Linked DNA regions of Drosophila melanogaster. The protein of the gene in region 1 interacts with the protein of each later gene in a pairwise test. Each region holds a gene or a part of one and is shown in the gene's direction. Other genes may lie near its edges.

Region 1 (8,438 bases):
AAAGCCACCGCCCGGCGGAAGGCCCATGCCATGATGGTGACGGTACGGCCGATGGTGTGGTGCTCCGTGGTAGCTCCTCTTGTGCCGCATCGGGCCCAGGTGGTCGTGATTTGATCCTCTGCCTCCGCCACGACCTCCCCCTCCATGGCCACGCGAGGATAGACTCCTGGGCGGCTTGTAGATCACGTGTATACCTTTTTCTCGCATAACTCGAGCCGTCTCCTTGGATTTCTTGAGTATGGGAGTGAGTTCGATTTGTTCATCCTCGGGAAAGAGACGACACAGCTCGCCGCCAATCTTGGGCTCAATCTCCTGGCCATCGCGACCGATCTTCACCGGCTTGCCCTCGTTCCAGGTGTTGTGCAGGTGCAGGGTGGCGTTGAAAGACAATTCCTTGCGGCAGATCCAGTCAAGCTCGATGACGCCGCCCAGTGCCTTGGGCGAAATACTAGGCGGCAATACCCAGGCCACCTGAGGAATGTCCCGCCGTGAGGGGGCTGCCATCCGGGCGAATCCTGCAAATTTACCTAAAAGCAAAATCGGATTATAATAGAGGTTTTGAAGACATAGACATTGTATGTATCTTATTCTTAAGAAACTAAGAAAGTATAAGAAATGAGAAACATTGTTTACTCCTTGAACCTACCACTCTCGTTGACCGAGAAAATGAGCAGGACGTTTCTGGCCTCCTTGAAAGCCTGGTTAAGATTGGCGTCGTTCTGCGGCAGCGTGGCCCACACACTCTTGTTCTTAGACAGCTGGACGTTGTCGCTATTGTTCGACTTGATGAGGAAGAACCGTGTGTCTCGGAATAGGTAGTTCAGCTTGGTCATGTAGTCGTAGCCCTTCTGCGAATGTGAGTGCGTACCGCCACCGACAGAATCTTTTTCCGGCGTGGAGCTCTTGGAACTGGGTTTGCCCCGGCCGTTGCCGCCACCATTTCCTCCGTTTCTCTTGTGCTGAGTGCCCGAATCCGAGTCAGAGGACTCGCTGTCGGACTCCAAAGTTGGAAGGCTTGGTTTCTCGTCCTCAGCCTCGCTGAGATCGCTCTTGTGGCCAGCAGAATCGTTGGCATTGGAGGGTATCTTGGTGCGCGACTTCTTGGCGGACGGCTGTCGATCCTCGGTATCCGGGGATTTGGATTTGACCTTATCCGACGCCTCAGATGAGGTTGTTTTCTTCGTCCCGCTATCCGTGCGCTTCTTTTTCTTCCCACCATTTAGCTCCTCGGGAGTGGGTTCCCGTTTGGCTTTGTTCTTGGCGGAAGATTTGGAGGATTTGGTCTCGACAGCGGGTTGAGGGCTTTGCTTGGCAGGCTTCTTGGTTTTCCGCTTGCTACTGCCCGCCAGGGAAGATGTGGCAGTGCTGACGGAGCTGATGCTCGGCTCCGAGTCGGATGAGTCTCCACCATTCGATTCGGAAGCCTCACTCCTTGTGTTGAACTCAAAGTCTTGCAGCTCCTCGGCAATGTCCGCCTCGTTCTCGTCGAGGCCCAGGTGCACTGCATCCAAGTCCGCCATCTCGCGCATCGGCAGCGTTTGTTTACCTGCTCCGAAATCGGAAATCGGAGTACCAGATGAATGGAGCACCCACGCACACGCACACACGCAAACCAAGAAAAATATATAGAGAAAAAAGCCGATCGATCGGCAAGGTAAGAAAAGGTCAGGGAAATACAGGTATTCCCAAACTCACGGGCTGCTCTTGGCATTAATTGTGTGGACACCGGTCTAGCGCCACTTTTTGTTCACTTTTAACGCAATATATCCCTTTAATATCGCGAAATTACGCCAATTTTACAATGCTTACACACAAATTCTGCGTCACAGCGGCGACGAATTGGCGATGGCGTCAGAAGAGTGCGGCTATATGTCTGCAGGCCGCGACTATCGGACCACTATCGATAGGCGGATGCAGCTGAAAAAGGTAGCTAGAAATAGCTGAAAATGCACTGCAATCGGTTATGTTATCGTTCCTAACGAAGCGAGGTAAACAAAATGCACCACAATCAGTCGGATTTCCCGACTTTTCCGCTTTCCTTGCTGGACGACAGCGATCTAGAGCCACAGAGATGTTATATACCCGCGTGGGAGAACTCTACTGGAACTGGATGGTACCGTTGTCACCTTTGCGATGGCAGCTACGCAGTTTGTTGGGTAACTCCGCGTGCAGGCAGTGAAACTTGTTGCTTCCTTGATGGAATTGTAACCTCCTTGACGCGGTTCTCCCCCACCAATCAGCGGTTGGTGCTTCTGGAGCCACTTAAATTAGTTCCCTGCGTGAAGAGGATTTCATGCGTGATTACAGTCACCCAGGAGCTCCTTCAGCGACCTCCGGTTTCCCTGGAGGATCTGAAGGACGATGTGCGAATCTTCCTGCGCCACCTGAAGCTTACCAAAGGATGCTCCGTGCAGCACAGACGCCTTGTGCAGCTGGGCATTGCCAGTGTGGAGATATTCGATGCTCCAGGAGTTGCTGATGACGAGTGTTTTGAAATAGCCCACGATGCTGAGCTACTCCTGGCGGACATACGCCTGGGAATGCCCTTTTCTTTAGATTTTATCTTCAAGTATTTGCCACACAGCTTCGAGCGACCCATGGAGCAGTTGGAGAAGCTCCTGGAAACCTCTAAAATCAGCTTTTCGCATAGATTTCCTACTACAGCATTGGTTGTGGGTCCGGTGGACTGTGGAAAAAGTGGTCTACTCAGTGAGTTCCTGCGTCGTCATAGCTGCAACTGTTTTTACATTACAGCCAGCCAGGTGCTGCGCTCATATCCCGGCGAAACCGAAGAGGAGTTGAGGAGGATCTTTCAGGCTGCTCAGACTTTCAAGGAGAAACTACGTCCATTATGTAATTTTCACAGTGTTTGTTTTACGTTTGAAATATTAATTAGTTTTATATTTATAGTGCCAATTGTAATCCTCATTGAGGATCTGGAGCTGCTCTGCCCCTCAACGGCTGTCGCAGATGCAAAAAACTCTAGCAATAGCCTACGAATTTCAGCTGAGCTCTACAAACTGCTAGACGCACTTCCTCGAGGCATCATATGTCTGGCAACTTCTGGTGTCCCGGACTCCTTGCATGAACATGCGCGCAGGCGGTTCGTCCGAGAGGTGACCATTAATATGCCCAGCGAAGGGCAGCGCAGACAACTCGTAGAGCATCTCTGCGAAGTACACGAGCTGAATATCTCACAGACTTTACTCGAGCATATAGCGAGAAACACTCAGGGATATGTGATAGCGGATTTAACACTACTCCTGCGCCGCGTTCAACAGCAACTCTTAACAAAAGACGACTTCGACATAGAGCACATTTTCCTCAAATCCCTGTCACAAACTCAACCGAGTGCATCTCGATCCACAGATGTGCGGGTCTCGAAGATGACGGCTGGGTTTGAGGTTATCGGAGGCATGGAAGCACTGAAACGTACCTTGCAAGTCTCCGTTCTAGCGGGTATAAGACAAAGTGCCGCTTTTGCTCGATTCGGACTAAGTTTGCCCAAAGGAGTGCTGCTCTATGGACCTCCAGGATGTGCCAAGACCACCGTAGCCAAGTGCCTGGCCAAGGAAGCTGACATGACCTTCATTGCTACGTCGGCGGCGGAGGTGTACTCTCCCTACGTCGGTTGCGCGGAAAGATTTATATCGCGAATCTTTGACACAGCGCGAAAAAATGCACCCTGTCTTATATTTCTAGATGAGATAGGTGAGTCGGATAAGCTTAATTTGCCATAAAAATGATTAATCCACTTAATTTTATAGATTCGCTTGTTGGCAGAAGGACGGTCTCAAGTGGCGGAGGTGGTGGACAAGTTCAGCTGAGGATTCTCTCCACGCTGTTGACCGAAATGAATGGCATTGTGGGGGGTGGTAGTCAGCAACATATACTTGTCGTTGCAGCCACCAATCGACCGGATATGATCGATGATGCCCTACTGCGACCAGGACGCTTTGACAAGCTTATCCATGTACCAGCCCCAGATGAGAAATCCCGCCTGGCTCTGCTAAAACTCCACTCCCAGCGCATGCCTTTCCATGAAAATGTGTTTCTCCAGGAGATTGCTGCCCGAACAGACCGGTATTCTGGAGCGGATCTGTGTAATCTCTGCAATGAGGCGGCTATCGAGGCTTTTCAACGTGACTTTAAGGCCACGGAAATTGAGCTACAAGACTTTGAAAAAGTTCTGACCAAGCAGAAATCCTCGCTCACTCAAAGCCAAATAGATGGCTACTATAAGTTTGCTTATAGGTTCTTATAGAACAAGATGTATGTGCAGTTGCATTTGTTAGTTTTGCATAAATAAATGTATTTTAAGATGTTAAATCGTAGAATTCTTTGCTCAAATTCAAACTACTGATTTACGATATGTACTCCCGCGACCACGATTACCAATCGATAGAATAGTCGCAGTCAGCTGTTGCAACGATAACTGATTGCGGCAAAACAAAGAAAACGCAGAGAAAAAGTTAACGCAATTAAACGTAGTAAAAAAGCCTAGACTATTTTCATAACAAGAAGCAGTGAGTCACAAAAAAAAGCTTTCCGGCCACAATGGCAGATACCCGTAAAGACGCCGCGCCGCCGAGCTACGAAGAAGTCATGAACAGTCCCTCGCAGGGTAAGTAATAGGCTCACTAAAGGCATCCAATTCAATGCACATCTTTTTTAGATTCCCGGCTGATAGTGGGCGTGCATCAGGGAGCACCTAGTGCTCCGCCACCAAACATGCACATGCCAACCTACGGAGCTTTCGAGACGACGCCGGTCAGCGTGGTGATTCAGCCTGCTCCGGTCGCTATGCCCACCGAGATCATCGTGATTGGAGGATGCCCTGCATGTCGGATTGGATACCTGGAGGACACCTTCTCCGCCTGCGGACTGTGCTGCGCAATCTTCTTCTTCCCGCTGGGAATTCTCTGTTGCTTGGCCATGCGTGAGAAGCGCTGTTCCAACTGCGGAACGGTTTTCTAGAGGGGATTACCCAGAAATTATCCATAAAGAAACGCTAAAAGTTGATCCCTATTAGGCTTTCGCGGTGGGTGACTATCACAAAGCACCAATATTTTTGTTATTGTTAATCGTTAGCTCGCAAATCATTATATACTATGTGTAAATATTATTCATGCCAGCCTGCGGAATGCCCCCGATTCCATTCCAGTCCCTGTCCGGAGAATGGTCATGTACAGTGAAATATGCTAAACTCGAATTCAAATCAGTAAGCCCAGTTATGAAAAAAATGCTAAAAAAAATCAGTTGAACATGTTTTCCAATTGAATAGTGATTTGGCTTTTTACAAGGATTTTAAGTAACATAAGTTTTAAACTGCAAACAAAAGAAAAAATATTTATATATTTAAATAAAAGGTTTACAACATGTTTATTATATCTTAGAGTAATGGTACGCAGATATAATGACTTGGACGGTTTTAGATATGAACTAGGTTGTACAAAACTTCATTAGTTCTTGATTTGTGAATAATTTGACCCACTGTTGCATTTCGTGATTATAGAACTTTTACTGTACTTGTAAAATGTGCACTGTAAGCGTCGACGAGGCGCGCTTCCGTTAAATTCAATTGAAATATAATGGAGGGCGGTTTTGAATTGCGCCGCCCGTCCGATTTCTCTTCTCCATGCTCTTTGGACTTTACCGCGCAAAACAGTAAACAAGTGAAGTGTTTTAAATGAATTTGGGAATGACATAAATATACCCTTCAAATGCATCAGGAGATTAAAAGAAAAACCCTTCAAAACGCCATATTTTAGATATTTGAATTTTTGAATATATATAGATTACTTGATTTTCAAAATTTTTATAAAACCAAATGTATGAGCCGCTGATATACCCCCTTATCAGATTTCATGGGCACAGGGTAGCACAACAAATTCGCCGGCATCCACATCCGCCGTGTCGGCATCTTCGAGTCAACAGTTGTGAGCTTCCTTCGCCGTAGACATGATCACTGCTCGTCTCCTGCTCTCGCTGATGATGCCAGTGCTGCTGGACGCAGCTGCTCCGCCACGACGGCCGAATGTGGTGATGGTGATCTTTGATGATCTGCGTCCAGTTATTGGAGCTTATGGCGATACGCTGGCCAGCACGCCGTATTTGGATAACTTTGCTAGAGGAAGTCACATCTTTACAAGAGTTTACAGCCAGGTGGGCAGCCTGTGATCATTGATGTGCGGACCTAATAAAACACATATATATTGAATCTTTAGCAATCCCTGTGTGCACCCAGCCGGAATTCGCTGCTCACGGGTCGAAGACCGGATACTCTGCATCTGTACGATTTCTACAGTTACTGGCGCACTTTCACCGGAAATTTCACCACTTTGCCGCAGTACTTCAAGGAGCACGGATATTACACCTATAGCTGTGGAAAGGTCTTCCATCCTGGCCTCTCATCCAACAACACGGATGACTATCCCCTTAGTTGGTCGGCTCCAGCATTTCGTCCCCGAACCGAGCAGTTTATGAACTCGCCAGTGTGTCCCGATAAGGAGGGCATTCTGCGGAAGAATCTCATCTGTCCAGTGGAGCTACAAACTCAGCCGTACAAAACGCTGCCGGACATCGAGTCCGTGGCGGAGGCATTGCGCTTTGTGGGCTCACGGAGCAGGCACAGCCAGGAACCATTTTTTCTGGCCATGGGCTTCCACAAGCCGCACATTAATTTCCGGTTCCCACGGCAATTCCTTTCGAGATTCAACCTTTCCCAGTTTTACAATTACACGGAGGATAGCCTGAAGCCGCCGGATATGCCGGCAGTGGCCTGGAATCCTTACACAGATGTGCGGGCCAGGGATGACTTCAAGCACTCCAACATATCCTTTCCCTACGGACCGATATCCCCACTCCAGGCTGCTCAGATACGACAGAGCTACTACGCCTCGGTGTCCTATGTGGATGATCTGTTTGGCAAGTTGATTGGGGGATTGGATCTGGATGAGACGGTGGTGGTCGCTCTGGGGGATCATGGCTGGTCTCTGGGTGAGCACGCCGAGTGGGCCAAGTACAGCAACTTCGAGGTGGCGCTCAGGGTTCCACTGATCATAAGAAGTCCACAGTTCCCTGTCGCCCAAACGAAGTACTATCACGGGATCACAGAACTCCTTGATGTTTTCCCCACTTTGGTGGATCTGGCAGGATTACCCAAATTGGACAAATGCCAGAGCTCTCAGGAGTTGACCTGTGGCGAGGGAAAAAGTCTTTACCATCAGCTGATGGGATTGGGAAGGGGTAAGTTGCTTTGTATGTGATATATAATGTATTTAATGCAATCACTTCCAGCGGATGAGCACGTGGCTCTCAGTCAGTACCCAAGACCAGGAATGCTGCCCACAAAGCACCCGAACAGCGACAAGCCGAAGTTAAGGAATATAAAAATCATGGGCTATAGTCTCAGAACCGATATATATAGGTATACCATGTGGGTGAGGTTCCATGCGCAAAACTTTAGCAGAGGTAAGAGAATATCAATAGATTCAATTAATAACCATATTAATTATATATTAAATATAACTCCCTTCAGATTGGCACGATGTGTATGGCGAGGAGTTGTACGACCACCGCCTGGATTCGGGCGAGGAATTGAACCTGATGCCCCTGCCGCAGTTCGATGATGTGCGTCAGCGCCTTCGCCGGCGATTGATGGAGATGGTGGGCAGCTAGTGGAGATCGGCTGTCCCTTCCCCTTCGAATCCCTCTGATTTTGAATGAATTCATAAGCAATAAAGGCAGCGCGACAAACGATCTCGAGACGGCGAAATATCTTGTCGCCATAATTGGAATTTAATACTTCCGGTTGGGCAACAACGTTTGCAAGCCGCGAGACGCCCAGACATGCTGCATATTTTTCGCTGTAATTTCTGCGATGCCCCCGCCTTGGGGACCGCCTCACCCCCAAATCCCCCCGAGCCGCCCAACCAATCTATATATGCACAATATACAATCCGATCCACTGCGAGCCGCGCATGCGTGACTGGTGTCCATTGCCTTTTTGGCTTCGTTTTTGTGGATTTTTGTGAATGAAATGAATGAAATTTCATTCAACGTTGGCGGCGCGCGTCTCGCTGCGTTGGCGTCGGCAGCGCCGTCGACGCCCAAATCGGGAGAGGATGGGGAGAGGAGAGGGGGCTACGTTGGCGACTCTTTTTCGAGCTTTCATTTTCTCTTCGGTTTGTTGCCATGCCAGTGAAAAGCAGAGCACAGAAAGAAATTCTCTTGCAAACTATTTACTGTCTTTACCAAATTTACAGATACATCTACAGGTACAGATGAAAGGCTTGCTGAGATAGATAGCATGGTAAGATACTTCTTGTTATATGCACTTTTTAAAAAGCGCCTAGAAGCAGGCAAGAAATAATTGCATTCTTGTTACTTGTTAAAAAGACAGAAATAGCACATCGTAACCACTGGTTTTTTCCTGT
Region 2 (8,148 bases), on another chromosome or scaffold:
GGCGGTTGCCCGTCAGCTTCTGCATGACTTTCGACAGTTGGCGCCGGAAGCTGTTAGGGGAGAAAGTGAGATAGGAAGAGAAAAGAGAGAGAGAGAGAGTGGTTCCGTCAGTTCAGACTAATTCAGTTAAACTGTAATCGGTGTGCATTTGCCTGTTCGTAAAGCACACGCTGCGCTGCGGCTTATCTACGCAGGCAAATGCATTACCTATGAAGCGCATAAATAACACGCATACGCAGCGTGTGTAACGGGGTGGGTAAAAAGAATTTATGACTCGGCATCTGAGGCTGAACCGTGTCGTGTACATCGTGTAAAGCCTAAGTGCGTATCGGCATAATAAAGAATCTCCTTAACATGCAATCGCTGACCATGTGTGCATTTAACACGAATTTACAACGCCAATAATCATAAATTTCGAAATATTCCCCCGGCCACTATCTGCTGTGCGGCAATCAGAGTCTTTCAAACATCCAATTATTTGTGGCCCTCCCTCCTACCCTTCGACAGTGATTATCTTTCACGCTCAGTTGCCGTTTCTAGACCCGCAATCCCACTAATACGAAAACATTCGTGCGGAAGCCAATACTTTCAAGTCGCAATCAAATGCGTTTATCCCCTAAAAAGAAAGCAGCGCTGAGCCTGACGCCCGACTAAGACAGACTCTAAGGCGGGTTTATCTGGGCTGCTGTCAGCTTGCGAGGGTGTTGTCCCGATGCTGTTTCAATTTCGCTTCGATTCGATACTAGCTATCGTTGCCTTTTGGTGAGCTGCCATTGATTTCTTTTTCGTTATTTATTTATTTTGATTGTGGCCTACGAGTGCGTGCGGAATGGGAGCCCATTCGCCAAATGAAATTCCATCAAGTTTCAGCTCGTGAGACTATTTCTGGAAAATCTAATCAACCAGGCTAAGTGAAAGTGCATTCCCGGGAGCTTTGTGGAGTCAGGCGCTTCAGCTGCTGACGAGGTGGTGCATTCGAGCGACATTAAATCACTTATTTACGGGAAATCACCTTGCACATGCTGAATCCGCAAAATTAATTTGAATCTAAATAATGCATCAGCTATGACCGGAGGTCATGCATATATTGCACCATATATTGCAGAGGGTACTCTGTCAGAAGTTTACAACGTAGTAAATTGGAAACATATAAATCATATAACATATAATGTTATGATTATACACATATCGTCCCATGTTCCATTTTCCGTCCATATGAACGCTGTGATCTCGGGATAAAAAAAGCTAGAAAGTTATGATTTAGCCAGCAGGACCATTCCTACTGTCTGAGTAACGGATATCTGATAGTCGAGGAAGTCGACTACAGCGTTCTCTCTTGCTTTAAATACACATATTTGTGTTTATTGCAAGGGTATCTAAGCTTCGACTTATCGGCGCCATCTTCTTTTCAGGTTGTGTATTGCGTTTTATCCGTGGCCTTGCCGATGCCAATCTCTTTTGCCGAGGCATGGGTAATTTTCGGCAAATAGAACTCTTGCCCAGGCTCAAAAGTCTTAACACATGTCTTGGGGAGAATTGGAGTAGAAAAATTGTAACACATGGTTAAGCACATTTAATCGTTGGGGTCTTAACCTTTTAATTTTATCACCCGCTCAACTTAACATATTTAAAAGGGTTAGGTTTTGAAAGATCAACTGTTTTGGCTTAAAGGTAAAATCTGCTCTTTTCTTGACTTATTCATCTTGTCCACTATAAATGCACTTCGCGAGTCAACTAAAAAAAGAGTCCGAAAACGTCAAATAGCTGCTGGCAACAACAAAGAATATGTCAGTCTTTTTTCTAAATCAGGAAACTTTTTCTTTCCTGTATCAAACTTTTGGATAGGTTTTTCACGAGCGAAAGCGGAAAAGTTAAATTTTCCGCTTAGTCCTAGCCGTAGACAAGCCATTTCATTTAAGAGGCCATCCCATGGGATCACTGGGCAGGCAACAGCCATCAACAAGAGAAATGATTAAACTTGACTGACCAGACACGCGCCTTAATGTCGTCAATTGACCTCAATCAATTATACACAATATTTTTTATTTGACCTTCGTTTATTCCATTAGAGTTTTTTTTATTTGTATTAAAATTCGGCGATGTGACTGTAAAACGCATCTGAGGCAGCCATTTGGCCTAGGAATAACATTTTTTCATGATTTAGCGTTGTTGTACGAGCTGAATTTGGTATGTGCTAGATAAAAACCAGCCGTTAAGCAATTTCAAATGTCGGGACACGGGTGAAATAAGCATTTGCCACCCGCAGTCAGTTCCGAGCAGGGGATGTCTTGGATGCCCCGTTGCGAGCAACCGCTTAGCAAAAGGCAAAGCCAGATATTATATGTTATCACCAGCGATGTATTACTGCTTCTACAGCACAGTGACTCAATATACAAATAAAGGTGAGAAAAAAATGCGATTCTCCTTTTTTTGACTTGTGCAAGAGCTTTTGATTTTGGAAACGAAACGTAGCCCAGAGAGACAGGGTATGGCGTTCCGTTGTATTTCGTGTTAGATAAATCATAAAGCAAAAATAATTTAATACACTTGCGTGCCCTGGTTGTAGCTCTGGCGACGAGGCGTATGTGCAATGCGGCGTGTCGGTTAATCATTTGCTTCTTTTATGAGCAGCCAAGCCGAATAATAAGCCTCAAAGAAAAGCGAGCTTAAAGGTGCACCTCAAACTCTGTTAAATTCACGGCCTATCACGACGGCACGACCCAACGCTCAACGCCAACTCATTATTTCCCCTGCAGCTCTAATTAGAGTCAAATATAACTAGGGGGCCTTGAGGACCCCGTACGCTAGCCTTGGCCATATTTAATGCGAGCTGAAAGGTCCGCGAGTTATGCAAATTTGCCCCGCCCACCGAATGCTCCGAACATTGACAAAATTATGCGCAATCGCGGGCCAGTCTCTCGGCTACCAACTTCCGGCGACAAAGTCAAGTCATGGATGGACATCCTGACCTCGCCCGCGGGTCCAGCCATTAGTCGTCATTAAAGATGATTGAATGCGAGCCCCGCTTTTGCATTGTATAAAAGGGGCACACTCCTGGTGACAACAGGGTAGGTAAAGTTGCCTTGGCGTCAGTTGGCAGTTTGGGAAAAGCCTACACACTTAATATTTCGATAGATACACTTATTTCGCAATCGTAGAAGATACCACAAATCTCTCTTCCGTAAATTATAAGTATGTCCAAGAGGGTGAGCATCATGTTGCCCGACGAAATACCTGCGGCTCCGTCAGGCAGCAGGAGGAACCCGATGCCCAGCCGCACACTCAAAAGTTCCATTAAAAGTGGATCAAGCGCTCGGACGCAACCCGCACCGCCAGTGTTCGTGGTTGTCAACCCGGAGAGCAGCCAAAGCTCGCTTACCTCGGGTCAGCGGAACAACACCAGCACGACCAGCAACAGTTCCCTTAACCAACGAAATAAGGAGCACTCCGCGGCGAGGTTGTCAGTAACCGAAGATACGGCAGCCCTGGACAGCAGTGCCTTGCTTCAAGGTGGATCCTCAAACTCTCGTGATACAGTTAACTTCGATTCGACCTCCACCTCGATCAGGATGTTCCTTAAGAACACAGTGGGCCTTGTCAGGGCAGGAGAGTCCTTCACATCTGTAAAACATCTCTTTCACAAGTTCATCAAACGCAGCGGTTCTGTGCCAAATTCCAAGCGTTCGTTGACATCCTCCTGCTCCCAGGCGGTAGATGAGGAAAATCCCTATATGAGCAAGTCCAATGATACGCTTCTGACGGACTCGCCCACCCGCACTACTGTGCCCAGCACCTCCCAGATAACGCCCACCTCACATTTCTCCAACTGCTCATTCAATAACACGAACTACGACCTTTCCAACCTCCTCTCTGACATCACCCCTTTGACTGGCTACACGCCAGTGGGTCTCACTGAGGAGGCTGACTACCGAACAGACACTTCCGCAAACACCGCATTGAACAGTGTGACATGCAATTTGGCGAGCTCGTCGGAGAATCCTTTGGGAAGCGGATTCGACAACAGTCCCTCGAAGATTTCTACCGATCAGGAGAAGATAGCGGACACACAAGGACGTCCTACTTCCAGAAATCGCTTTAGCAGCAAATCTTTTCGCCAGAAACTTAAGACCTCGCGCTCTAGTTCACCCAGAAAGTCGCCCAAGATGTCACCTCGAAATAAGCAGTCAGCACCTGCAATGGAACCCATATTTGCAATGGTTAGTTCATCTGGGCCTAACTCTTCTGAGGGATCACGGCGATCGAGCAAATCGAGCCTGAGGCGGAAGCAAAGTCCATTACCCAACGTAACTGCCAAAATCTCGGCCACCTCTAATTCAAGAGCGGACTTGGCTAAAGCGCCCAAGTCCAGGAAAGAAACCACCGCCCGATCAAACCTATCAAGAAAGAGCTACCGCCGGAGTTCACCCAGAAGCCGAAGTCGAGGTTCTCGGGCAAACGCCTTAGAGAGCCCCCTTCAAAAGAGCGAGGACACCCCCGACAATGTAGAGTACGCCTTCGCTCTGGTCAGCCCTGAGGAGGCGGGGAACAGTCAGCCTGAAGAAAGTAGTGCCGGTGTCGAGGATGCCTCCTCCAAGTGCGAGACATACCAAAAGGATTGCAATTGCCACCATTGCCAGGACATGCGTCGGGCGGTCAAGAGGTCCGACTTTTTCAAATCTCCCGAGGGACAGAAGCGGCTAGAGGCGAAGCTACTGGCCAAGAACTTCTTCATGGACCTATGCGTAGCGTCAGAAGTGCGCCGACAGGCTCAGTCCGATCTGCATGGAAAACGACGTCCTCCATCAGCGCGTCTCAGTTACCCGGTGAGCATCTGTGGAGCGTGCAGGCTGAGCGGAGGCTCGCTGTCGTTGCATTGGATCACCCATGACCTTGACAGCGTAGACCACTTCGACGTTTTTGTGGACAACGTGCCAAACCGTAGTGTCTACAACCGGCAGGCCACCTCCACCGTGCTCGTCGACGTGAACACCACCGAGACGCACACGCTGCGCCTACGAGCGGTGCCGGAGCGTGGGAGCCGTGGTCAGGATTCCTCGGTGGACAAATTCATGTCGGAGGTGGCGGCCGGGCATATGCGTCACGTCAGGCAGGGCCAGCTCTTCGCCACGTGCTTCGCGCACCTGGACGCCCGGCCGCAACAGCGTTCACTGGTGGATTTCTGGACGGACAGCGAGTTCTTGTACATGCCCACCCGCGAAACTCTTACGCCTTCAAAGGCTCGCTGACTGGCGAAAATAAACTGATTTATGAGCAGCAGTCCGTTTTGGGAGTGGATATGCGGCAGGAACAGCTGCGTGGGTGAAAATTGATTAGGCTAATTTAGAAGTGATGACCAATCGGCGCACTAAACTCTCAGTGCAAAAGCAGTGGCCCGGCTCCCACCTGCACCACGTTTTGCGAGATATTCAAAACGAATCGTGGGCCTGGTGCGGCCATCAGTCAACGAGACATGGGCGCTAAGCATCCCGCGCGTCTTTATCAGTGGCTTGCAGGCAGGCTGGCTTGGCGTGGGGGGACTGGTACTGACGAAGGCGTTTCGCGCTGATCTGTCAGAGATTTTGGGCCGCAAAGTGGCATGATTAATTATTTGGCAAATATTTGGATTCCGCGCTCTCAGCTCAGCTGGCTTCACCATGGAAATAAGGAAAACCAAAAATATGCGGACTGGCACTTTCATAGAGGAAAGAACGGGCGAGAAACCCAAACCGTTCAGTATTTTAATTAATTTTCACTTTCGTTGGGGACTAGTGAGCATTCCATCGACAATGTGATGGACAGCTGTGGCAGCAGTGCCAACAGTGCTCCCTCGAGAATCAGAATCTCCCGTCCACGATTCACTGGGCGCGTTCTGATTGAAGCGTTTTGCATTTACTTTGTTTTGGTTTCCCTTGGCGCGTGATTGGTTCCGAAATAAACAGGGGCCTACTTTTATTATTTGGATAATTTTCAATTATCGCTGTTATTTCCCGAAGTCAGCAGTTCATGCTTTCAGCCCTCTCTAGATATATCAATACGTATTTATACGTACATATCTACATGTTGCCACGCGGCGAAAACACAGTTTTTATGGTCGCATCTCGCGGCCACTTTCAATTACTTTTTATTATCAGGTCCACGTTCCCCCCTCAACGCATTTTTATGTGCTGGAAGCAGTTGGCTAAATATTTTAATTGATTTCATGTGGTCCACGCCAGCCATTTGGCCAGGACTCAGCCCGATCAGAATGCAGTGTTTTGTAAATATTTGCTTTCTCGCCCAGACATCCATGTCCGTGCCCCGAGTTGTTTACGGTATACTGTTTATGGGAAATTGCGTTGCTTAATGTCAGATCTTCTAATGGCCATGATGACGGTAGCGATCATTGCTCAGATGCGGAATCTTACTTAATCATCTTCAGTGTTTTCCTTACATATTCGGCAGTATCTATGAGTATTTATGTGTACTTTGACAAGACGTTTTGGCTGTTAGAATATGAATTCTTAATTATTGGACTGGGCAAGGTCTAGTAGCTAACTGCAGCAGAAAGTGTCAATTGCGATCAGGTAATTTTTACTATAAAAGTCTCACGGGTTATTCAAGTTGGATGCGAGCATGTCTTTCTATTCTATCAAGATCATAGTAGCACCTAAGTTTATACAAAATATGTATATCAATTTGTATTACGATTTCGGTCGAGTACTTTAGAGTGTTTTATCTAATATAAACATGTAGCTTTCATTTTTATTTCCCCCCCATTCAAAAGCTGTTTTGTCATTTGAGCAGTTAGACAGCCGGTTGCGGTTTGTGGCTTAGCCTAAGTCACTTAGCTTAAGTCACTTTTGATCAGCCCAAAATAAATTAAATTCCAACAGAAGAGAAAAAATGCCGGCTAGTAAGTTTCGGCGAAGCAACCACATTTAGCTACACGTGATGGAAATAAAGCTATTCCACACAATGGGGCACCCTTGGTCTCCTCGGAAACATCGAATTTAAATTAGAACCGTTATGCAAATTAATCATTTGTTGCCTTACTTAATTTTTTCATTTTCCTTGGAATCGCATTATTTGCTAACTAAATTGGAGCATGCGAATCGCACAATGTTGGTCCGAAAGAGGTGGGACCAATGCGTGAGACACAAAAAAGAATGAAAGATACACGATACAAAGGTCTTTCTTGAACCGCTTCTCGGGATTATTTATGGCGAGCTGTTGTCCGTGTCCAGGCAGGTCCAGCAGGATTGAAAAAGTAAGAACTGAGAACGATTTTATGATAAACGAGTCCAGTCAAACTCCCGGCACAGGAGGCCGAATGAATGAAACCAAGAGAAGGACAACTGGCTTGTTAGTCCACATCGGGTACGGGTACTTAAGCTGGAATGAGAAACTCTGCTTTCCGACCAGGTTCACCTGCCCTGGGCAAATACAAGATGGGACCATGGCCCATCTGTATTCTGAGGAGCAACTTTTCTTGTTTGACTAACCTTCACCGTGTCGTCAATCAAAAATTTATTATCACTCGACCTTAACTAGTTGATTCCGATGTGACAACACTAGCAAATGCATGAGTGAATTAGGGCCTTCAATAAATCATTCGGCCATTCCAGATTCATTCAAATTTACAGCATTAGTAGCCCATTCAAACAATCACAGTCGATGATTGCGCGGCCGTCAGATATCATTTATCAAGCGTCAAAGCGTGCATATTATCGCTCAGAGGATAAAAGGCAGCAAATGAGTTATGTCTTCTTAGAAGACAGGTGAGTCCTGCCTCCTGGACAAAACTCGAGCGGCTTGGCAGACAGTGCACGCGTGAGAGCCTCAACCTTCATTGAGCATGTGTCGGGTGTCAGGAATTGACGGCTCGTCAGATTGAATCGTGCGCGTCGCTTCCTACGCTTATCTGCTTCGCTTATTTAATATCCTGATTATGCCTTGTCTTGCTCCCATCGACACAGCTGACTGGAGCGGTAATTGAATTCCATTCTGCGTCAGCAGGCTGCATCCAAATGACACTCGAAGACAGGACTCGAGCAGCTGTCATAGTCTTGCACCCGTAAGATATCCTTGCGAACAGTAACCAGGAAACCAGAAGGCGTCGACGGCGTCGTACCACAAAGCATATCAACTAATTAAGAGTCCGAGCTTCCT
Region 3 (8,417 bases), on another chromosome or scaffold:
ACAAATCTTAGCTTCATCTGGCTTATCACAAATTTACGCATTCTTCACCGGTAAATATTTCACGCTTGATAAAATATTTAAAGTTTTAATCAAACCTAACCCAATATGGCATAGTCTTGTTAATATTTGTGCGTAGTATCTTTATTTTCGTAGAGCTTTGTACATTATGCTTTCCACTAAAAAAATAGTTAATAGTAGAATATAGAAAACATTTGTGGAATCCCATATATACATGTGGTTATTGTTGTTTTTTAATTAACCCAAAATGTCAATATCATGTGCTGTTGCTAATCCTCGCATACGTTTTTAGGAGCTGCCTCGAATCTGGTGGGGAATAATGCCAGCAACGATGGAAGAGGCATATCACAAGCTCAGACGTCCGCAGGCACATGCGAGACCAGCTTGAGTACGCAGCCCCCAGCGGGAGCATCACGCACAGGAGCCAACGCGACGTCAACAGCGGCATCGGGAAGCAACAGCAGCATCGCAGGTTCCACCCTAACGCTCTCCGCCCAGTCGAACACAACCACCCACTCGGCGAGCACTCTGCACGGTCTGGATGGCGGCCCGTCGACGGGTGGTTTCAACTCGGAGCCGGCGTCCCTGGACTCGGTGGCCTCCATGGGAATCATCGCCAGCACAAGTGGCACCGAGCGATCACGCGATCTGGCCCTATGTGCTGTGCTCATGGACGAGTGGCTTAAGGAGCTGGCTGCCATTGCGCAGGAGCAGAGCGTTGTGCTGGTCACGGAGCAGGGGTCTTTATGATCGCTTGGAACGGAAAGCTTGTGTATACATATTTTACGGATTTGTTAGCCCTTGTTTGTTTTAACCAGCTACTCTTACGAAATTATTCTTTTTACCTGTTAAATTTTCGATATTTATATTTTAAAAAACAACTTTTAACGAACAATGCAGTTTTGAACAGATTTACAAGTTAATGCACACGGACTCAACTAAAAAAAAAAAAGAGAAACACTCAACGCGTTAAACAAATAGATTTAGGTTAAATGTTTTAAGTGAATCGGGACGGTGGATCTTAAGTGTTCAGATGTAAACAAATATTCTAATTACCAGCCGTACGCAAAATTTACAACGTTTATAGAGAGAATTATATAACACACATACCATGTATACATATGTATTTTTGCAATATATTTTATGCTTTTATGTATGCAAGATCAAATTACACAAGTTATGTAAAGCCAACTTGAAAGTATTAAATTGGTCCAAGTAAATGCACAGCCAAGAAGATTTAGTTATTCTTATTATTAGCTTAGGATTTCAGGTTTAACGTGAGAGCCAATTTTATAACATGGCAACCACCAGAGGAGTCAAAGGGACTCACTGGGTATACCTTCTTCTGGTGCGACACGTAAACGCACAGTTCATTCTGCGCAAGTCAGCTGAAGCTGGAGGAGCTGCCTGCATCGGAAACACAGTTTAGGTTTGAGGGCCATTGGGAGAACTGCCTTTGGGGTGTGGCGGCGAAATACGATGATAATTTAGGCGCTGAAATTTAGCCAAAATGTTTTTAAATAAAAGTGTTTCTTATGAAAACTTCAAGCCAATATATTCAAGATTATACTTATTAAAAGAAGCAGGCAAGATAAATTTCCGTTTAGATCGTTAACGGAAGAGTTTGAATTTGAATATGTACTAAAATAGAAGTTGATCGATTGATCGATTTATGCCCACACTTTAAACCAAACACATTCCACTCCGATATCTTAGTCGAACACAAACAATCGATAGTCGACAGCACTGTGGATGGTTGAACGCATCTCTAGAAATCGGTCGCTTTCAGTCACAAAACTGCGATCGTTGCGATCGTTTGCCGTTCAAAAAACGTAAAAGTGCGCATCGCCGGCTGAATTATTGCGTTGTGTTTATTTTATTGTTAAATATCGCATAAATTATGTTATACTTTTCCCCGCCCTGCACTCGATACATTCGTGTTGGCGACTAATCACACCGCCCGCATTTTCGCAAACTTTTTGTTCTTTAGTTGCGAGTGCCGCTTGAGTGTTTGTTAAGTGCAAGGGGAACACCGGCTGAAACCGCCTTTACGGGATTCTAGCCAACCGAAAATAGTTCGCGAAACGCAGCAGGCGACGCGTCTTTTTGGCTCTCGAAAAGGGCATGAAAACTCGCGAACTGTGGCCAATAAAAGATACATACAGGAAAAAGCGATTGCGCGAATTCTCGGCTGCGTGTGCGCTGCAAATTTGCTCGTGCGGAGCAAAAACAAACGAAAATAGCCGGATGAACAAATACATCCAGTGCGAAGAATAATCTACGCTGTATAAACAATTAGCCGCAAAACAAACGGCGGAATCGAGTGCCCCTGTGTGCCAGTGTATTGTGTGTGTCTGTGTGTATCTGTATCCCTGGAATGCGCAGTCGCGCATGCGCAAATATTTGTGATTTGTTTTGAAAGGAGAGAAGGAGCGAGAAACAGAGATAGATAGAGAAACATAGAGAGAGCGCGCGATCGGATTGGAATAAAAAAAAATAAAAGGTGAGTTTTGCTGTTAGATTGGCAATTGCAGCAACTGCAGTTGCCTTGGCCTAAGTTGCCATTTTCCCTGCCCACGTTTCTCCACACAATTAATGTACAGTGCAAGGAACTATTTGAATAACATACATGATAACTCACTCACAAAAAGTTCAATTCAGGCTCTTCAGCTATTGAAAAAACATTGAATCAATACTTTTTTACGTGTACCAAGCCCACGTCAGTCGACTAAAAATCCATGGGCCTCGGCCCACGGAAAATTAACTCATTGCCCCCTCTTTTCCCTTCGATCCAGAAAATTGCTCTATTCTCCTCGGGAACGCCCACTTTGTCAGCGCTACGCCCACCTTGCCCATTTGTTCTTCTTTTGTCTCTGGTCTTTTGTCTTTTCCCTCCACGGTGCGCAAACGAAGGCGGGTTTTTCCTCCACTTATCGCTCGGCCACTACGGCCATAAAAGTCCGAGTAAAAATCAATTTTCAAAACAAGCAGGACAAAAACAAAGGAACGAGCCAGCGAGGCGGCAAGGGGGCAAGAAAGGGAATATCGGACGACAATAACATCAATTTTGAGGCATTTATATGCGCCAATAAATTCAACAGTTGCTTGCTGGTGTGAGTGAGAAGGAGAGGCAGCAGGAGCGATGGCGATAGTATCGCATCCGAGGAAAGCAACAAATAACAGGCAGAAAGATACACGACAACGCGCAACAATAAGACACAAGATCAAACAAAACCAGCAGCGAAAACCGACCACGCTGCAGCATCGCCGTTGCTTTTGTTGTTGCTGCAGCAGTTGCAATAGCAACAGCAACAACCACGCCGCATGCAACAGGTAAAAGCAGCGACGCCACCGTTTCGAAACGAAATGCCCGCAAGAGCGAAAGAGATGGCGCCGAACAACCTGTTACATCGCCCGCTGCCTGAAATATGTAAAGTCAATTTCGTGTATCGGAAAACTGTAACTAATGCCAGGCAACAGCAGCAGCAGCATTAACCCATTAACGCGAAAGGGAGAAATCGGCCAAGAAATGCAAATGCATTGTCCATGGGTTAAATGGAAAGGCGGGATGGTGTAGTTGGGAAAACTGCTTGGCCACATACCACAAACAATGCAACAGTCAGGCATCGTTTGAATTGGCAAAATGTAAATAGTAATTAATATTAATACAATTATTAACACTATTACTTCTCGGACAAAAAGTATGTTTCCTTAGGGGTCTAAGTTGAATGTTTAATATTACTCATTTCTTTAAGCCTTCATCCGAGTTGGAATCTTTTTGCGGTCATGAGGCTTTTCTAAAGTATCCACAAGAATCTCCTCCTGACTTGGCCCGGCATCTTAATGGGTTAAGATCCGCGCCCGTGGGCAACTGAGGCCAAGTTCGTTGTACGCGGCGGCAAATAAAAGACAGCGCAGTCGAGTAAGAAATTTTTGTCAATGAAAGAAAACTTTCTTTTGGGCTTATCCACGCCAACATCGCCGCCGGTCCTCCGTTCACTCTTTCGTTGTCTGTCCTCCTCGCCGGTGATTTTGTTTTGTGTGTCGCCCTGCTCTTTATATTCCTATAAGCACCCATCCATATACGTATATCTTTCTGTTTAATTGGGCGGTTTCGAGATTTACGCGCGCCTGCCGCCATCTGCAGAATCTCTTTGGAGTATAATGATCTTTTGGATCTCTACGTCTCCGCGGGCTCCTCTTCATGGTCCATTAAGACAATTTAGCCTGGCTTCTCTTTTCCGGGCCTTCGGGACTCGGCCATCGGATGCGTGGGAGTGGCAGGGGCGGCATGGGAGTGACTGATGCGTGGGAAGCCTCGTCTGTTTGTCATCTTGGGGCTGCAGGTTTGATTGCTTGCGAGCCAAGCCAGGGCAGACCAAGCCAAGTCATCCAGCCATCGAGTGTCCAAGTTGGCGCAACAAGTGTCCCAGTTTGTGGAACGGCTAGAAGCCAGCTACTCGAACTAGAACTAGTTTAAGTTTCCTGTCCCGGCAGCCATAGCTGGAATCTCCTCCACATGGTCACATACTTGCATGCTTATAGTGGCGGTGGAAATGCTAGAAGTAGGTTAGTTTAAATGCTTCGCTTTGCGATCTGTGGATAAACACGTCTCACAAAATCGTATATCATACATATATCCCAAAAATTATATAAACGCCAAGATTATTTAATAAGAGATCAGAATATAATATGCTATATAAGACTTATATTATCTTTGAGTGACATTTTTGGTGCTATTCGTTTGAGCGCAACTGTGACTTTTCTTTTAGGCTCGGTCATGTTGACTCTTGCTGCCGTTTCTGCGGTCGCCTGGAGGAAACCCCCTTTTGGCCAACCTACTCCCCTGTTATTAACCGTTTGGCCACATTTTCTCACACAGAGTGCGCAGAAATACTTGGCAGGCCACTCTGGCAATTGGCGCGCCTCTGGAAATGACAAACGGTCATGAGCATGTGGCTCCGGCCCACGAGGAAGCACAAGGGGGCGTCTCGAGCAGCTAGCAGCTCCACTAAATTACGGAAATCTAAAAAAATATTCTAAGCATTCGCCGGGAAAATTGATTTGGAATAACTGTATCAGAATGCTCTAATATAAAAAAACAAGTCTCGTCTCGGGATGCTATAAATTCCAGAAATGATCGAAACGGAACCGGTTGAAATGTATGATAAGTGATCTATAGATCGACATATCATGTTTTGAGCATGTAAATCAGATAAAAAAGACCGCAAATGATAAGTGCAAGTCTTCTTTATGGAACATGATCATTATAGAATTCCTGTAATAAACCAGTAAGTTATAATTAGGTAAAAGATGCAATGATAAGAATTCTAATCTATTTCCTCTACGACCAAAAAAGATATGCCAGATGGGTTCTACACATATCATTGTAATTGGCAATGATCCCATTCGACATAAATGCCGAAGGAATGTAAATGAGACCAGTCGATTGGAACTGCCATGAGATCATCAAATGGCCTCCAATCGCATGGAATCCGCTTTGAGGGGTGCTCCACTTGGGATTCATTAGGAGGCCCCTTCTTTACTTTCAATTCGCTCTGCTTCTGGCCAAAACGTTCTCCTGTTGGCCCAAAACAGCCTCACGTAACTGTAACTGATTTGACCTCCCATCACTTAGCTACCAAAAAAACCTCCTCCAAAAGCGTCGTTTTTTTCCGCCGCTGCTGCCGTTTTGGCATTGTGAATGGTTATGGTTACAGTGGGGATTGCGGATTGGGGCTCGAGATCTGGGCTGGGGGACTGGGGCATCCGTGGTATCAACGGAACCGAGTGGCGGCATTGGGTCTGTTTTGATGCTCGTTTGGCGGAGCGGTGCGACCTCGACAACAAATTTCTATTGCATGCAATTTGGTGAATATCGCATGCACAAATGAACATTAACACTTGGCGGAGACCCAAGAGATGAACAATAATAATAAAAAAAAATACCAAAAAACTTGTTTGCTCAACAGAAAGCAGTGACAACAAACATATTGGTAAATAAATGCAAACCACAGATGACGAATGTGGCATACACTATAATAGGAAGTATTTAGTTAGCCTATTTCGAAAGAAACATCTTGTTTGAAGATAATTTTTAAGTATGGAACTTAAATGCTATGTTACACAAATTAAAGTACATATTGAAGTTACAATATTGTGCAAATGTATAGAGTAGTTTCGTGTGCCCCTCCATTTTCTAGGGTATTAAACATCAAAAACGGCAGCCAGGCGGCAGAGCATCGAGTGAAAAAGTGCGCCTAGAAATTAGAAAGTACGCGGCGGTCTGGAGGAGAGGCTCAATCTGAAGTTGGGGCTGGAGCTGAGGCTGAAGCCAAAGTCAAAGCTATGGTTATAGCTATAGACAAAGTCGAGGCGGTGGGTATGTGAGTGTAACTCGATTTGTGACTGTCATAAATGGCGGAAATTGTGGGGCTCGAGACAAAGCGGGCTTGGGGGACTGGGGACCGAAAGACGGAGGCTTTCTGGCTAGCTTTCTGCTTTCTACTGCCGGCCTGCCGGTCTTCAGCCGCGGCTCTTTCCAACTCCAAGCTCCAAACTGCAGCTCCAACTTCTACTCCAACTCCAACTCCGGCTCCGTTTTTCTTTCTTGCTTGACTATAATTTGTGCCATCAGCATTTTGTTGTCGTTATCGTTAGTAGAGACCAGAAGACTGTGAACTGAGCTGAAGACTGAAGCCAAAAGACAGAAGACAGCAGACAGGCGACGGCAATGAAGCGTACGTTTTGACATTTCCCCAGCTCCGCCGAAGCCTCTCTCTTTTCGCTTGCTCTGGTCTCCATAATTATCGAAGCGGAGAAGAACGCGCTGCCACAATTTGGCCAGATTTTTATTAATTCCCACCTTGCGCCACCACCCTCCCCTTTTGATACCCATTACTCGTAGAGTAAGTAGGAGGCTATTTTAGATTCGATAAAATGTATGTAACAGGTACTTTCACTAGCTGGGTACCGGGTATCCGATAGTCGGTGAACTTGACTATAGCATTCTCTCTTGTTATGACTTATTCAATTCGCCACCAGCCGCAGAACAGCCTTAATATAGCCCCAACCCAATCGACGCTGAACCCAAGAACCGGCTCAAGTTCGCCTCGATCTGCGTTTATTATTACACTTAATGTGACTTGATTTATAAACAAGAGCAGCCTCCAACGGTGGACCAACCGACCAACCGACCAACCGACAAACCACTGGTCACCTCACCTCTTGCCCAGCTGTTGCGAGGAGCAGAAGACAGCAGATCGACATGGCTCAGTGACCAAAAGGAACACTGGGGGAAATTTGATCTGATATTGCAGCTCTTGCGTTTTTTCAATTCTCCGTCTACCAACTGAATTGTTGCCATGTATTTATTGAACTCAGTTGGTTGGTTTTCAATACATAACGTTATAGTTTTTCCCAGTGCACATACCGCACTGGTGTTGGGTTACTCCAAATATTGCCCTTTTCATCGCCGCCCGATAGGAACTGTCTTTTAATTAGTTCATAAATTCAGCGTGGAAAAGCTGAAACGCAGTTTCACCTCCGATGTGTAACACTTCCACTTCCCTTTCCAGTACCTTTCCAGAATCTCTCGCTCTCTTTGGGCTAAGCCCACCAAGTGGCTTCCTTCCTGGTCCCGGGTCTTTCAATAGATCGTTCAATCCGGAAGTTTGTTGCGCTGGCGCAGACAAAAGAAGTGCGGCACTAAGCGGCTTTTGTGCCCAAGAAAGGAAATAGAATTCCTACCGCGCCCCTTCCTTTTCACTCGATCAGTCGAGTGAGAATCTCAGAGTCATTTTAATGGTTTCCGCTTTTTATGGCATTGCCCGGGCCTTATGATTGGTACAAAATTAATAGAAATTTAATTGGAGGGGCCCGTGGGGTCGGGGGAAATTGGTTCTTTAGGCATTTATTGCGCATGCGCGCAGCTTTTCTCGCTGTCGCTAATTGTTATTGCTCTGGGTTTGTCGGACTTCGTAGTTCTTTATGGTTTCTTCACGCTCCGGTCTTTGTTTTTTGTATTATTTTTATGTTTAACTAGACGTGCGGGAGGTTAAAGCGTGCTAATGCTTACATAATGCTTTGTTTTCGGGCCTCTTTATTGTTTCCACACCGCCCTTCTCACGTCCTATTCACCTATTTTCACGTCTTTTGTACGTGAGGTAGGCCCAGTTGGGCGGAAGGGCGAGAAAGTCGAGGACATTTTAGGGCCCTCATAAATTATCATCTCGGGTTTCGTAATCCCATGGCATAGGAATATGATGAATAGTCCCTGTTCCCATTCACAGTTTGATCCAGTTCCTTTCTGTGCCTTTTATGACTGGGAAAAGTTGAAGATGGTACCAGATAACCTTTTATAGGTATAAATCAATGTGTGACTGTGATTTATATTGATT
Region 4 (7,563 bases), on another chromosome or scaffold:
GTATAGGGTATCGCAATTGAAATCGGGACTTCATAAACACAGTGGCATGTTGTCAACTGCAGTGCCAACCCGTTGACACCTCGTAAAAAGTGAAATGTGTGTTCACTGTGTTTATGCATTAAAGTTTTATGCTTACTTTTGCTTCAAAAAACATTACGATGAAGAACTGTTCAAAGTGAGCAACGTTTTGGTTATCCCCCAATCCCAAAATGTAATAACTAAACCATTTCTATTTTTGTCTTCTTTAGTTTAGTTATCTTTATTAACGTTTTGTTCAAAGTAATGAAATAAACGAGTATAAATGTAACATCCCAGTGTATGTATGTATGTATAATGATGTTTTAGAATGTAGAAAATAATAAGACGGGAATTTCTAAAAGAACTGGGTCTGTGGCATGATTGACTTTCGTCCATCATTCGACTCTGGCCGTCGTTACATCTTAGAGTCTCCAGGCGGCGACAAGACCGCTGATCAGCAGCGTCATGGAGATGATCAACTGGGCACCGCTGTCGCGTGCCAGCGGAATGTTGGTATCATTGGCCAGCAGAAAGTTGCAGCCGCGTCCCTCGCACGTATAACAGTTGCCATCCTTGACGCACTGCTTCCTGGCATTCGCCGAGGTGAGACAGCCGCGCTGGAAGGATCCGTCCACGGTGCGATTGCTATTGCGAATGTAGCACTTGTCGCCGAACTTGTACAGCGGGCAGATCTTGGCCGATACATAGGTCTCTGTGGCGCAGGACGACGAGGTCGAGTTCCCTGTGCACTGTAGGCACATGAGGCGGCTCAACGGGAAGGTGTTTCGATTGCATCCCTCGCTGTAGGTGCACAGCTGGCACAGTAGCTCGTTGTTGCACGAATTACGCGTGGCGTTGTCCAGATCGACGGCACAGCCGCGAATTGTGTAGCCATCTGCGAAAGATACCATTAGATGGTGCAGCCAGGGTAATCAATGCGATAACATACCCAGGACGCGGGAATAGCAGTTGGAGGATCCATCGGAACAGTTGCGATTGAGCAGGCTCAATGGATCTGTGGCGCAGCGTTCGTTGTCCTTCGAATTGCACTGGATGCATCCATCTGCAAATTGAGCGAGTGGAACGGAGCGTTTCGATTGAGTCATGCCTGATTAGATTAGATCAAGTTTTTCGTAATCGTTGCGTTGGCATAATGACATCATATTGATTTCGTGCAAAGTCTGCCTACCTACCACAGTGCATATGTGTTTGAATGTGTTTGATTATTTCTTTTTATGTATCTACCTGCATGCCTTATTACAATGACGCGCACTGTACTCGGATGGCAATTGTCTCGATTTTCCACAATCGATTCTTACGAACATGCCCATGACAAGTGAATCAGCAAACTTGTATGTTTTTGATAAGAAGAGTCAATTTACATTGGCTATAAATCGAAAGCTTGCAAGCAAATTATATTTAGCATATCAGGTGGCAGTAAATATTAAATATTTACCAAGTGTTTACATGAAAGTACGAATGTACGAGATTATGTTTCAACTTTAATAATGAAACGGAATAACTATGTACTTCATCACAAAGAGAAATTAAATTACCGCTGACATACAGCTGTGTTCATAAAAATAGCAGTGCTTGAGTTTAAAATAAAAAAATCTTAAGATTTCAAGTTTTAATGGGAAAATTTTTTTTATAATATCATTAGGTATTTAATTTTAAACAATTCAACAAATGTTTCACATTCATTTTTTTAATAGTTTCGAAAATATAGATTAAAACAAGCAGAAATAGCAGTGCTATGAAAAAATAGTAACAAAATTCAACTTGACTTAGAACGAACTTATTCTTAGCCGATTTGCTTCTGCGTTTCTTTATTTTTTATTTTTTTAATTTATTGCCCTTTTAAATATACAAATTCAAATTCAAATTCAAACTCACTTTTTAGAAAATATTGATCATTTCGGGAGTTTACGTTGGTCAAAACCAGACACTGCTATTCTGTTGAACAGCCTAAAAGTTGTGATTTTGCTCAAGAATGTAAATAAAAAAAAGGATAGCATAGAAAACTAACGACATTTTCTTTTTTTCCCTATCTACACATTCCAATTCACAAAAATAAGTGGAATAAAAATTCGATCCCGAAACATGAAAAAAAAACCGTCGCATTTCTTAGTTTCTCTTGCACTGCTATTTTTTTGAACACAGCTGTATGTACACATGGTTTAAATATATGGCGTACAATTTTCACATCTTTTTGCTGGCTCACTCACACTTAGAAAAAAAAGAATATGTTTGCCCAGTTACAAAGCTAAGAACCTTTAAAAGTTTCTTTGGAAACTCGCCTATTGATAGCTTATCATGAATTTATTTCCGTGTCCATGATATCACCGCTTATCACACCTTATATAAAACACTCAATAAGTTTTTCAATTCAAAGAGCAAAAAGAAAATTAAAAAAAAAAAAATACGATCCCGATGAAAATTAAAAGTGAAACTTATTTTGGAACAACATTTAGGCAGGTACAACATTTACCACAACTGATGTAGGCCAAAAACGAGAGGGCTGCAATCACCAACAGGTAAAACTTCATGGCTGATAACTGATGTAACTAATTTCACGACGATCGAATGTTGCGACTGGTTACGGAGCTGAACCAGAACTAAGGGAGTAGAAAAGGTTCAATGAGTGATTTGAGTTTTGCCGAGCTTTATACCCTATTCATATATACCTACAGCTTTACGATAAGGCACCACGACAACAGTAATTCTATTGGTGAGTTGAGAAAAAAAAGTGTTTTGAAATGATTCACGACGCTAAAGTTGTCGCTCTTTGGCATACATTCATTTTCATAAATTATGTTCAGCGGGTTAGTCAGCGCACTTGCGAAACTTCCAGATGTTTTAAAAATATATCTTTAATGTTTGCAAAATCGTAATAAATTTCATTTTCAAGTGCTAGCTAATCGCATTAAAATTTCAATTCAAATGCTAGCGCGCATTTGAATGCGTTCCACACTTATCGATAACACGTCGATAAGTACTCCTTGCCAGAGTTTTTAATTAATATAGTTTAGCAAAATATCATTTTGTTTCTATTTAAATTTAAATTGGTTCATACTCACCAATTTATTGTAAAGGAAGTCGAAACTTTTAAGCTGATTAATTTCACCTTTTACATCCGAGAATTAAAAAAAAATACAGGGAAATATTTTGAACCGACGTTTTGTTATTCTGAGTGAAACTTAAAACGGTCACACTTTGCTGGCAGACAAAAATATTCACTTTTTATATCTAAACAAAACAAAGTTATTTACGAAAAAAGCGAGATATAAACGGCAATGAGCGCCACGACTAGAACACCTGCCACACCGGGGACACCTGGCACTCCCGGCAGCCTGGCCATGGAAGTGGCCCGCGTCCAGAATTCAGCACTCGCCGAGTTTAAAAAGCCCACGGCGATGGTGCGCCACAAGAACAAGCCAAAGATCCTTACCGAGGAGAAGTACATCGAGGAGATGTCTAAGATCATCCAGCGCGACTTCTTTCCCGATCTGGAGCGGCTGCGTGCCCAAAACGACTACCTGGACGCGGAGTCACGGCGCGACTTTGTACAAATGGCCGAGATTCGGGAGCGCTACAGTCTGGGCAGGATTTCCGGGACAGGAAGAAGCACCAGCCGACGGAATAATGGTGGGTATTGTACTCAATTGGATGAACACCACTGGCACATCGCTGTCTGCTACTATCTTACTTGAAATCAAGTCTGATGAAATTATACATTGGCCAAGTTCAATAGATAGACCCATTAACTTTTTGAATTCCTTCATTTCAGCCATGTCCCCGGCCACATTTGAGACACCAGTGAGTCAGGCGAAATGTAGCAACACCCCATTGCCAAATTCCCGGGCCACAGACACACCATTTTCCACGGACGGCTCCGAGAAGAGCGATGCCGAGGGCAGGGACACCACCGCGAAGCTATCGCTGGACGCCTTTCTGCAGAAGTACACCAGCGAGGATAACCAGAGCTTTCAGGAGATCATCGAAACGGCCGAGGCCAAGCTGCGCCAAAAATACGCAGTACTGTACAACCATGAGAAGCTCTCCGCAGAGCAACTGCAGCGGGCCCTAATGCTGCCCAGCATAGAAACGCAATTCGAGGAGCCAGATCCGCTGAGAAAGATCGAAACCTGGAACTACACCAACATGAATTCCATTATGTACGTGCCCGATGGCGTGGAGTACACAGAGGAGGAGCGCGTCCAGTTGGCCGAACGGAAGCAGAGCATCCAACACAATGCCACCAGGCTGCCCGATGAGGCAAAGCATCGCGAAATGGACACTAAAAAGCTGAATGATGAAGTGCCCCAAAATGGGGCTGGTGGTGCCACAGCTACTCCGAAGGTACGCGGCTTCGATTTGTTGCGTTCACCATCACCGCGACCCGGAGAGGCTTTCTCGCCCATAATGACCTGGGGTGAGATCGATGGCACTCCCTTTCGCCTGGACGGAGGCGATACCCCATTGCGGCCCACACAAGGACCCTCGTTCCGGATTAATGAGAACTCTCGGCGCGAAAACATCGCCATCGCTTTGGCCGAAAGGGTCAGCGAAAGGATGCGAAATCAAAAACAAATGGCTCTGGATACGGCGCGTCGTAACATTGGCTCACCACTGATACGCACCAATATGGAACGGCTGGCCAGCATGTCGCCGGCAGCGCAGCTACTGGCCACGGGTAAGCTGGGTATCCGCGGCACGCCCCGATTAAGGCACACACCATCGCCGATGAGCGGCAGAAAACGAAAGGTTACGCCCGGCGTGGTGAGGAGCACCAATACGCCAATACTGGGTGAACCCAAACCCAAACAGCAGGCCAAGATTAGCACTCCGGCTAAGAACGTTACCATTGATACGGGATCCACGCTCACGGACGATCTGCTCAAGATACCCACTAAACGACGCACTGCAGCCGATTTCTTTTAGTACATAACATTACCCATAACCCAGCTACATTATTCATGTTTAATTTCATTAGAGAATACTATACATAGTCCCACAGTGTTGTTACGAATTGTATATTTCTTATAAATAGATGCCGAGTTGTTGGAAAGAAGATTTAAGAATGCGTAAATCATAAACATCATACACATATCTTATCAGCTTTGAAGTTCATTAAGATGTATTGGGTGTTGTAGCAAAAACACTTGCGCACATTTTTAGTTTCATTTTAATGTTTCAATACGAAAAACCCCATTACCACAGATAGCAACATACTGATTAACTAGCTAGAACTGCTCATCCCTGTAATCCACATGATCGCCGGACTTGAACTTGAATGCTTCCAGGACTTTGATGAATCGCTCCGTCGTTTGGGCGGGAGTCAGCATGGTCTTGGACTCCCTTTGCTCTCGAAACATGGCGACCACGGCGGGATCGTGGGCCTCTCGCTGAACCTGGACGGTCATCTGTGTGTCTATGACGCCGGGCGCGTAGTTCAACACCAGGGTGTCCTCGGCGGACTCCTCGGTGGCCAGCACTCGGAAGTACATCTCACGGGCTGCCTTCACCGTGCAATAGTGTGCCATCGAGGATATAGGTGCAATGGCTGCCAAGGTGCTGAGATTAACCACCAACTTTGGGATTCCCTTGAAGACGCGCATAAACTCGCAGTTTAGCGAAATGGCCGAGAAGACATTGGAGTGGTAGTAGCGCTGTAGGAAGTCGGTATCTCCGATTTCTTTGGCCCTCTTTGACGTATCGCCCACTGTGCCGGCATTATGAATGACTATGGCTCGCTCGAAATTGTTCTTTCCACCGGATGCCTCCAGAATCTTGGTAAAGTCCTCCGTTTTGGCCGTTTCCAGCTCCAGCGAATAGGTTTGCACGGATAGATCTGGCACTGTGGCGACAATCTCTGCCTTAGACTCCTGCAAAAGGGTTTGATTGCGTCCCAGAAGCGTCACCATGGAACCCTCGGCTTTGATCCGTTTGGCTAACTGCTGGGCGAACTCACGGCCAATTCCACGTGATGCACCGGTCACCAGGAGATATGTGCGCTGTTTCAGGTCCATGATTGCGTGAAAAACACGGACTATATTACTTTCTAATTTCCACACCGCTGAAGTGGCAACAGTTGGCTGTCTTTTTGCCTTAACTCGCTTTGGCTTTTACCTGATTCTCCGGCAGCTTTTGCACAGCTGACTAAAGCTTGGTGCTTTTATTTTTATGACCAGGAGCGTAAGCAAAACTACTTTCTAAAAGGGGGTAATATAAGTAGTGTAGTTTTTGATACCCATTAAATAGTATCATAGTAAACTTTTAGCGATGACCAGGTTATTCATTTCGTTTATTCATTTAAAGGTATTAGTATTTGTAGAAACAATTAATTATTATTTTTGGAAATTTTAGCCCCCCAATATACCCGCCCATGTCTCCCGCTCTCCCCGCTTTTTGTGCTCTCGATTCGCACATTTCTCTCACGGTTTAAGCTTCACTCGATGCGAAAGGTTATCGCCGGCTCTTGCTTAACGATTTAATTTAATTAATTGCCTATGTTTTATTAACCGCTACTATATAATACTACACTATATATCAAAACTTATGGTCCTTTTGGAAAGAACCCAACTAATATATTATATATATAATGTGTGATCGAATGTCAATGTCAAGGTCAGCATCTTAAAGAGTTAACTCGAGTAATCTTCTCTCGAAAGCTCTGCAACTTTGTTATAAAGTTCAAGCTCGCAAATTGTCATTAAATTTATATTGATTTTTCTTACAAAATTTGAATTAGCATTTGCGCTCAGTGTAGCGGCGGCCACCACCTCCGCCACAAGAGGGAGTGAGATGGGCGGTCGAAAATGGCGTCTGTTGGCCATTGGAGCCCGGAATGTGGGACCAGCGGAGATGGAGATCCGGGGAAGCCGAGAAAACTGGACCGATCAAAGTGAAACAGCCCGATTAACCGGGTGCGTCTGCTTTTCATCAGCCACGGCCATTCCAATTAGTGGGTACATACATATGTATACATATAGATGGTATATCTACAATATATAGCATGTAGTAGTATATGTTACCTGGCACACGGGGTCTCCAAGTGAATCGATTTGTTTACCCTCCCCCCTACTCTCCTCTTCCATATAAATCTACGCATCCAGTTGCGTCCTGGATTTATGGAACAACTGCTTGTTAATGTTTTCCCTGATTTTCGTTTGCCGCACTACTGTTTACAATTATTTTGAGTTAATTTTTTTTCCCCTTTTTTTTGGCATTTTCAGAAGCATTTCGATCGCAGCAGATCGTACCATGCAGTCTATAATTAATAAATTTAAAAAATTGTTATGGCATTGGCCATCGTTAATTATTTGTTTGAGTGTAAACAATTGGAAATGAAATGCAAACGGATAAAATCGACTAAAGATTTATTATTTATGCTTGTATCGTAAATTTAGATTGAGGACTGAAACGAGGACTAAATCTTTTTAATTTAAAATAATTTACAACAGTCTACTACACATTGTCGTTATTCTTGGCCTTCTTCTTGAGATCCAGAGAATCCATGAGATCCAATGGAGCAATCCAGCT

Evidence for each region.
Region 2: the proteins of CG12010 (region 1) and CG7856 interact in a two-hybrid assay, tested with the Drosophila melanogaster proteins (one large-scale study listed by BioGRID).
Region 3: the proteins of CG12010 (region 1) and Ccdc85 interact in a two-hybrid assay, tested with the Drosophila melanogaster proteins (one large-scale study listed by BioGRID).
Region 4: the proteins of CG12010 (region 1) and Es2 interact in a two-hybrid assay, tested with the Drosophila melanogaster proteins (one large-scale study listed by BioGRID).

The regions. Positions count from the first base shown.
Region 1 is NT_037436.4:3,372,324-3,380,761, forward strand, and holds CG12010 (uncharacterized protein), read left to right. Parts: upstream 1-1,958; 5' UTR 1,959-1,997; coding exon 1,998-2,853; intron 2,854-2,910; coding exon 2,911-3,711; intron 3,712-3,767; coding exon 3,768-4,264; 3' UTR 4,265-4,326; downstream 4,327-8,438. Other genes in the region: Ythdc1 (YTH domain containing 1), read right to left, coding at 1-527, 647-1,546, 1,696-1,711; CG12012 (uncharacterized protein), read left to right, coding at 4,558-4,624, 4,676-4,977; Ids (iduronate 2-sulfatase), read left to right, coding at 5,962-6,165, 6,228-7,248, 7,300-7,473, 7,541-7,680.
Region 2 is NT_033778.4:6,054,482-6,062,629, reverse strand, and holds CG7856 (uncharacterized protein), read left to right. Parts: upstream 1-3,071; 5' UTR 3,072-3,194; coding exon 3,195-5,246; 3' UTR 5,247-5,273; downstream 5,274-8,148.
Region 3 is NT_033779.5:2,997,481-3,005,897, forward strand, and holds the start of Ccdc85 (Ccdc85), read left to right. Parts: upstream 1-1,805; 5' UTR 1,806-2,521; intron 2,522-8,417. Other genes in the region: CG3558 (uncharacterized protein), read left to right, coding at 12-50, 311-768.
Region 4 is NC_004354.4:8,458,257-8,465,819, forward strand, and holds Es2 (Es2), read left to right. Parts: upstream 1-3,222; 5' UTR 3,223-3,314; coding exon 3,315-3,666; intron 3,667-3,808; coding exon 3,809-4,962; 3' UTR 4,963-5,093; downstream 5,094-7,563. Other genes in the region: CG15347 (uncharacterized protein), read right to left, coding at 441-913, 968-1,126, 2,510-2,567; Sptr (sepiapterin reductase), read right to left, coding at 5,265-6,050; CG33223 (uncharacterized protein), read right to left, coding at 7,502-7,563.